2 linked regions of the Callithrix jacchus genome follow. The protein of the gene in region 1 interacts with the protein of each later gene in a biochemical or structural test. Links are inferred from orthologs where the notes say so. Each region holds a gene or a part of one and is shown on either strand. Other genes may lie near its edges.

The links. The genes of interacting proteins can lie anywhere in the genome.
Region 2: the proteins of CASK (region 1) and F11R form a complex in vitro, tested with the Homo sapiens proteins (2 studies listed by BioGRID and IntAct, with this or other methods). The link is inferred for Callithrix jacchus from reciprocal best matches to the Homo sapiens genes CASK and F11R.

Annotation. Positions count from the first base shown.
Region 1 is NC_133524.1:42,368,238-42,371,884, reverse strand, and holds part of CASK (peripheral plasma membrane protein CASK), read left to right. Parts: intron 1-2,021; coding exon 2,022-2,102; intron 2,103-2,207; coding exon 2,208-2,288; intron 2,289-3,647. UniProt on the Homo sapiens protein: Multidomain scaffolding Mg(2+)-independent protein kinase that catalyzes the phosphotransfer from ATP to proteins such as NRXN1, and plays a role in synaptic transmembrane protein anchoring and ion channel trafficking.
Region 2 is NC_133519.1:20,880,017-20,884,223, forward strand, and holds the start of F11R (junctional adhesion molecule A), read right to left. Parts: upstream 2,871-4,207; 5' UTR 2,786-2,870; coding exon 2,722-2,785; intron 1-2,721. UniProt on the Homo sapiens protein: Seems to play a role in epithelial tight junction formation. Appears early in primordial forms of cell junctions and recruits PARD3.

The DNA.
Region 1 (3,647 bases):
GCCATTCAAAAAGCTTGTGGCATCATCATCATCTTGCTCCTTCATGAGATGCTTATTTTTATTAAAATATATTAAAACATATCTGCTTGTCAATGCACTTCTTTCATAAGCATAGTTTGTCATGATGGAAATATCACTCAGAGGGCAATAAGTCTAAAAAATAATGCCATCAGCACTCCTGCTTTTATTTTGCAGTATAACTAGCTGGCCCTACCACAGAGAGCCTCGTGTTCATTTTAATTTTGTGAGCCTGCCATTCTGAACACAGAAAACGTTTCTTGGTTTTTAGCTATTGCTAGAGGATATGCTTTAAAGACTTTCAATCAACCTTTATAAATCAAGTTCTCGAAATAAAACAAATGTGTAAATACTCATTAATATACACTAACCTCTAATATATTGTATTTCTGTTTTTATATATTGTGATAATGGTGCTTTTTGTTTGTTTGTTTCTGATCTATTCTATTCCCAAGCATCTTATTCATTAAGAGAACCTTCCACTCCCTGAAACAATATGGCAAAATGATTGTAAATATGACCTTAGTTCTTAACATTAGTGATCTGCCCAATCACTTAAAGTGCAAAATAAGATATCACAGGTTTTGGCTGGGTGCAGTGGCTCACGCCTGTAAGCCCAGCACTTCAGGAGGCCAAGGCCAGCGGATCACCTGAGGTCAGGAGTTCAAGGCCAGCCTGGCCAACATAGTGAAACCCCATCTCTACAAAAATATAAAAATTAACTGGGCATAATGGCAGGTGCCTGTAATCCCAACTACACAGGAGGCTGAGGCAGGAGAATGGCTTGCACCCAGGAGGTGGAGGTGGCAGTAAGCCAAGATTGTGCCACTGCACTCCAGCCTGGGTGACAGAGCAAGACTCCATCTCTAAAAAATAAAATAAAAAATAAAGTAGCCCAGATTCCTTTATTACATCATCAAATCAATTTTACTGAATTATTTTAACCCCTCTAAAATACAGGGTTCATTCAATATTCTTTACAAAAAGAAAGTCAGTATGCAACTGACAGCATTTGGGTATGACCATACAAAAAATATTATAGGAAACACAGACATACAATTTTATCCCTTTGTGAGATTTTTCAAATGTGTGTGAGAATTGGACCATGTTAAATTTCAATAGGAATGGGCGTCTGCTCAGGAAAGTTTCGTACATTGCTTGAAATTGTTTTTGTGATAGTGTTAAGAAGCAGGTTTCAGAAAAATATTTGTTAAAGTCTTTCCACTCAGTCTGGCGTGATTAGAGAACTCCACTTTTGCAAGGGTTTCTGAGCTTAGACTCTGCTTCATGATTCTTTTCATCCTGATCTACCACACACAGGCTGCTCGAGTAATGGGCGACAAGTTTTCAGGCCCAGGGAAGCATGTATCTGTCCTTGCATATTCAAGATTTTCCATTGAATGGATATCTGGGTTACAGTCAAGCTTGTGAGATGCTCTTTGATAAGCTTGTGAAATAGTTAAAGAACTTGCTTTACAATCTAGCATGCTACCTTCATCAACTCTGTTAAAAGAAAAGTTGTCCATGTATTTCTCATCCATCTCTAGAAATAATCTAGCTGGCCCGTCTCCTGGTTAACTTCAGTTGCATTCATGCTATATTCATGTTGGTCACTGTCTGTAGACTTTTTCTTTTTAGTATTACTGATTTCTTAGACTTGGAAAAATATGAACAGCATGTGGTTTCGAATGAATTCATATGATTTGTTGGATACTGCATGAAAAGATATGTAGTATCTTTTAGAATTGAACATTTTAATGCATGTATTCAGCAGCTTTGGATGCCCCTGGTTCTAAAGCACATTTTCATAGGCTTAAAAATGAAAATTTCTCCCTAGATGCTATATGACTTAAATTACATGTAAGCCATATATCATAAGTTGGATTCATATTTTTAAGACATGGTTTTAATATAACTGTAGTTTTGCCAGTAAGATTATAATTTTATATACATGAAATAGTCATTCCATAAATTTACCTTTCTTCTAAATCTTTGCATTTTAGTGTTTGATCAATTAGATCTTGTCACATATGAAGAAGTAGTAAAACTGCCAGCATTCAAAAGGAAAACATTAGTCTTATTAGGTAAGTTTGATTGTGTAAGTGGGTTGCTGCTTCTCACTTTCAAAACATTTTGTGAACATTAGTAACAGTTGTCAACGTTAACATTCTTTTTTCTAAATGACATAGGCGCACATGGTGTTGGGAGAAGACACATAAAAAACACTCTCATCACAAAGCACCCAGACCGGTTTGCGTACCCTATTCCACGTAAGCAATGTCTCAATCTCTTTTCCTTATATTTTTCCTATCACTTTTTTTAAACTCTATAATTTATGTATTTTTTCTGATTACAAAAGGTATAACTGTTCATTGTAGGAAATTTGTAAAATCCAGAAAAGAACAAGGAAAAATTGAGTTAACAATAATCCCACTTTCCCTATAAAGTGCTATAAATACTTTGTTGCATACCCTTCCAGGCTTCTCTTAGTACAGATATGTGGAGAGAGAGAGAGAGAGAGAGAGAGTGTGTGTGTGTGTGTTTTAAATAAAATTAAGCTCATCCATTCTGTTGGTAACAATTTTTCTCACAGTATGTCATACACATTACCTAGATGAATTATTCTTCAGAAAAATAAGTTTTCATAGTTGTAAAGTTTCTCTGACATGACAATTTTTCCCTTAATCAATATTTAAATTGTTGATTTCTTATCACTTATTAAACCCAATTAATATGCTAACAGTTGTTTCCATAAAGATTTTCGAATCTGTAAGATTTTTAATTCTCCTTATTTTCTATATCTTATTCTTAACCTCTTGCCGTCTTCATTTTCTCAACTGTAAAATGAAGTAATTCCAGGATTACAAAGAGAATTCGAGATCATGTGTATGAAGCACTTAGCAGATGATGGATGAGTAGAAACTGTCTACCACTATCATTTCATTATTATCATCATTATTCTAAAGTTTAAAATTTTAATCCCTGAAGCTTTCTAGCAGTTCAGGGTTGGAAGAGCTGAAGGAGAGTGCTTTTTTAAGAGCAACAGGAGACAATGTGAAGATCAATTCCATTCTATAGGGCCTTCACATGCCTTCCTGAAGCAATGTCAATACCACTTACAGTTATCTGTATACCTCAGAGAGCCAGGAGGCTTCATGAGACAACCTTCATCCCAGAACCCTGTCTGATATACACAAGAAAATGTTTATCCAATAGTGTCTCATTTGGCACTCATGGGGTTTTCTATTAAAACACTTTGAAATGTTATTTTAATTCTCCTTCTGTCTATCTAGATCATGAGTACAGCAAGCTCAGCTAACATTTAGCTGCTTCTTAACCATGTAACAATTGAACTTCCATGTTATTAAATGACCAGTTAACTAGTTTGGTTTTAAAACTTTGGTGACGTCAATCATGCCTAGTCTCTGAAATATTTGACCCCATATGTGTATATAACATATATCTAACTACTGAAATAACTGAAGACAGTGTAGCATCAACACGTTGTCAGTTTTTGGCCGGGCACAGTGGCTCACGCCTGTAATCCCACCACTTTGGGAGGCTAAGGTGAGTGGATCACATGAGGCTAGGAGTTCGAGACCAGCCTGGCCAACATGGTGAAACCCATC
Region 2 (4,207 bases), on another chromosome or scaffold:
TTATGCTGGTTGATCCTCATGACAAGTATTTGTTGGCGCGATCTCGGCTCACCGCAACCTCCGCCTCCTGGATTCAAGCAATTCTCCTGCCTCAGCTTCCTGAGTAGCTGGGACTACAGACGTGCACCACCATGCCCAGCTAATTTTTGTATTTTTAGTAGAGACGGGGTTTCACCATGTTGATGAGGATAGTCTTGATCTCTTGACCTTGTGATCCACCCGCCTCGGCCTCCCAAAGTGTGCCCGGCGGAACAAGTATTATTACTCCTATTTTATAGATTAAAAGACTAAGCGACTGCCTAAGAAACCAAGCTAGAACACAGGTGTGGTGGCTCTCATTTCCATCCTCATTTGCACTAACCAGATCACTCCCCTCCACCAACCCCAACCCACATCTAGCCTGATTTAAAAGTTACAAGATCAGTTCCTCCATCCCCTGGATATGCCGCTTCCCAGGACCCACTGTCCTAACAGGCTAATATGACATCATCTCAGGTTCGTTCCCTCTGCACTACTGTGGCTTGGTTCCCTGAAGGCACCTCCAAGCTCAAAATGGTGCTATCATAAACTTCCAGTGCCAGTATGTGATTATTTCAGGATTATCATAAATAATATAGGAAATTCGAGGGAGAGGGAAAAAAAGGAAGCAGTGGCAAAGGATAGGGAGGAAGCAGCTCCAGGAAGCTTTTAAGACTGACAGATAACTGTCACAGACAAAAACTGTTACAGTCACTCACCCAGAAGAAACTTCTGGGCTTAGGGGGAAAATACTGGCACAGTACAAAGGTTGGAAAAATCTCTAGTACAGAACCACAGTACTAACGAGTTCTTTAGTAACAGAACCACTGAACCAAAAATGACTATGGGTATCACTAGCAGTTCTAAAATACAGGCAGAAGTAAAATAGGCAAGGGGTAGGGAAAAAAGGGAAATAGAAGAAAAGGAAAATGGAGGAGCAGAATAAAAGGGAGACATGGCCAGGCATGGTGGCTCACACCTATAATCCCAGCACTTTGGGAGGCCAAGTTTGGCAAATCACCTGAGGTCGGGAGTTGGAGACCAGCCTGACCAACATGGAGAAACCCTGTCTCTACTGAATACAAAATTAGCTGGGCGTGGTGGCGCGTGCCAGCTACTCAGGAGGCTGAGACAGGAGACTCGCTTGAACCCAGGAGGTGAAGGTTGTGGTGAGCAGAGATAGTGGCATTGCACTCCAGCCTGGGTGACAAGAGCGAAACTCCGTCTCAAAAAAAAGGGGGGGGGGTGTAAATGAAGAAGCTATTGGGAAAGTAAAAGTTTAACGGTAAGAAAGATAGTAGATTCTGAAACAGTATCCCAAACAGTTCTTGTGCCATAGGGTACCGGAGATGCTGGATCCAAGAATGGCAAAAAAAAAAAAAAAAAAAAAAAAAAGCAAATCAAGAGAGTTTGGTTCCATTCCCAGGTTCCACCCCTAATTCTATTGTCAACCTGGAAAAGTCATTTCCCCTCTGGGACCCTTATTAGTAAAACAGAAAGAGAACTACATAAGCCTCTGGTCCAATCTCCCCCAAGAGTTTCTGTTTTTGTGATGAGGGACAAATGAGCAGTCAATCCGTGTAAGGGCAGGGAATCTAGAACTGCCCTTCAAAAACTTAGCAAAATTAATTGCCTTTACAACACAATGATTACAATACTGATTGTAATCATTCACTTACTTTACACTTTCTAAAACAAGAACCTTGGGGGTTGGGGGAGACTCATATACTGACACAACTACCCACACAAGGACACGCACAGACACTCAAGAATCAGACGGATAAACATACAGGTGCTGCCGCAGGTTGACTAACCCACAAACCAACCGACTACTCGCTCAGCCCCACACAAACACATCTAGAGACAGAGGCATGCCCTAGCAAGTGAGCCTCATTGTTCCTCAGGAAAGGGAGTTTACAAAGGAAACAAAAACTCTCATACACAGCCAGGAGGAGGGCAGAGCTGACTCTGATAAGAATCCAGCCAACCAACAGATACACTCTCCCCCTGGGAAGAGTCACTCAGTCAACAAAATGTATTAAGGACTCCTAAGGTAATTATTCCAGAAAAGAACTTCTCTGGAACCTATGCTGCGCTTGGAGAAATTTCAGGTTTCTACTTCATTTCCTCTTTAGACTGTTCACCCAGACATTTTCCCAGAGCAACAGCCGCAATCCAAAAATTCAGCGGAACCAGAGACTCCTTCAGCAAAAGCTAAGGACAGAGCCTTCCACCCCAGCCTGCCTCCATTTGATTTTCTCCGAGGACCCTTAAGGAGCCAAGGCTCCCGGCTGCGCAGCGGGGATTCGTGGATGCTGGGTGCGCCTTGGACGGGGAGGCTGGCCCTTCCCAGGTGCGTGTGGAGCGCGCGCTGGGTAGATGAGTTTGGAAGGGTCCTTGGCCCGAATGCTCTCGCCGTGAGGACGAGGAGTGTACTTCTGGTGTGTGCAGATGGGTCAGCTCCCTCCCAGTGGGCGTGAGGGGTGGGGTCACAACTCACTAGTGTGGGGGAGGGGAGCCAGCCACTCACCCGGCTGCGAGAGTGAAAGAAGAGGGACCAGGCAGGGGTGGAAAAGAGAATTAGGAGACCGAAGTAAGCAGGTTTCTGAGCTCCTCCTCTCCCGCGGGCCAGGGGCGTGGGGAGCGCCTTCCTCCAACCTCTGGCCCGACCAGCCGATTCCTCCCGAAACTCCGAGAACTTACACAACAGGATCTCCAAAACGAAGAGGCGCAACAGTTTCCTCTCGGCTTGCGCCTTCGTCCCCATCGCGACCAGGATCCCGATACGATACAACAGCCGCCGACTGACTCCGGGGAACAGACACAGCTCCTCAGACTGCAGCGCGGGGACTAAGAGCCAGCCGCCAGGTGGAGCCCCGCCCGGCCCCGCCCTCCGCGCCTGATTGGCCGGCTCCCCAACTCTGCACGTTCCGATTGGTGGAAGGAACCGCCGCTCCTCAGAGCAAGTCACCTCTGCCAGGTGCTACCTCGCCGCTGCTCCCCAGCAGGGCGCACTGGAGCCTTTCCCCACACGGGCTGCCTCTGATTGGCCCAGGAGACTGTCGCGTCAGAAGACGAATTCTTCACCTTCAGCAGCTGACGGCCACCTTCTTGGTGTTCCTGAAGTAGGGACTTCCTGCCCGGCTGGGTTCTCTCAGTTGGAGCTGGAGGGCTGTGAAGTACCTCTAACGAGGAGGTAGGGAAGGCAGTCGTGCTGTGGGATTTACAGAGACGGGCTAGTTTGGGTTTCGTATTTGTTTGAATGTAAGTTGCTTAGTGCAACTGCACCTGCAGTTTGGTACTGCAGAAACCTTGGTCCTGCCCCTTGGCAAGTGAAAACCACATGTGAATATGGGAGGGTGAGGGAGAAGACCGGGAGAGAAGTGGAATGTTACCTTGACACCACCTCCCAATTGTTCCTCTATCCACCCCACTCGCAGCGTTCACAGTCTTGAGAAATGAACTGCGCTGGGAGGAAGAAAGGGAAAAAAACAAGGGAAAGGGAGCTCAAATGGAAAATGGGAACCTGGGCAATACAGTCCCAGCTACTCGGGAGGCTGAAGTGGGAGGATGGCTTGAGCCCGGAGACGGAGGTTACAGTGAGCCTACATCACTGACCTCCAGCCTGGGCGACAGAGCCAGACCCTGTCTCAATCAAACAAACAACAACAACAACAAAGCCACAACAACATAACTTGGGAAAAGCAGAATTACATTATCTCAACCAGAAAGTTAAACAGATGTACACAAAACACACCCAGATGATACAAACTGAGCTGAACACGCTCTGTAAACATCTCTGGGTGTCTGTGGATATGTCCTTTACACATATCTGATCTGTGAACAGGTCCCTACATTTCAGAACTATTTGTTTTCTCACCATGACTAATAGTTGGGTGCTGACCAAACCACCTTTTTTCTATAGACAATGTTGATACTCAAACTTTCTGTTAATATTCATATTGTTATATCATTTTTAATTGAAATTCATGCTCAACACCTTTACTAGTTGTAGTTTCTATTTTAAGATGGTTTAATTTTAACTGTACTAAGCATATGCAGACTGTAGAAAAAACTTCCTTAGCATTACCTCATTGCAAGTGAAAAGACCACATTTTTATCCAAAAGAATGGTATTGTTTGACATTTTGCCTTTTTCACCTTTGCCCTCATTCCTTTGTTCCCATCTC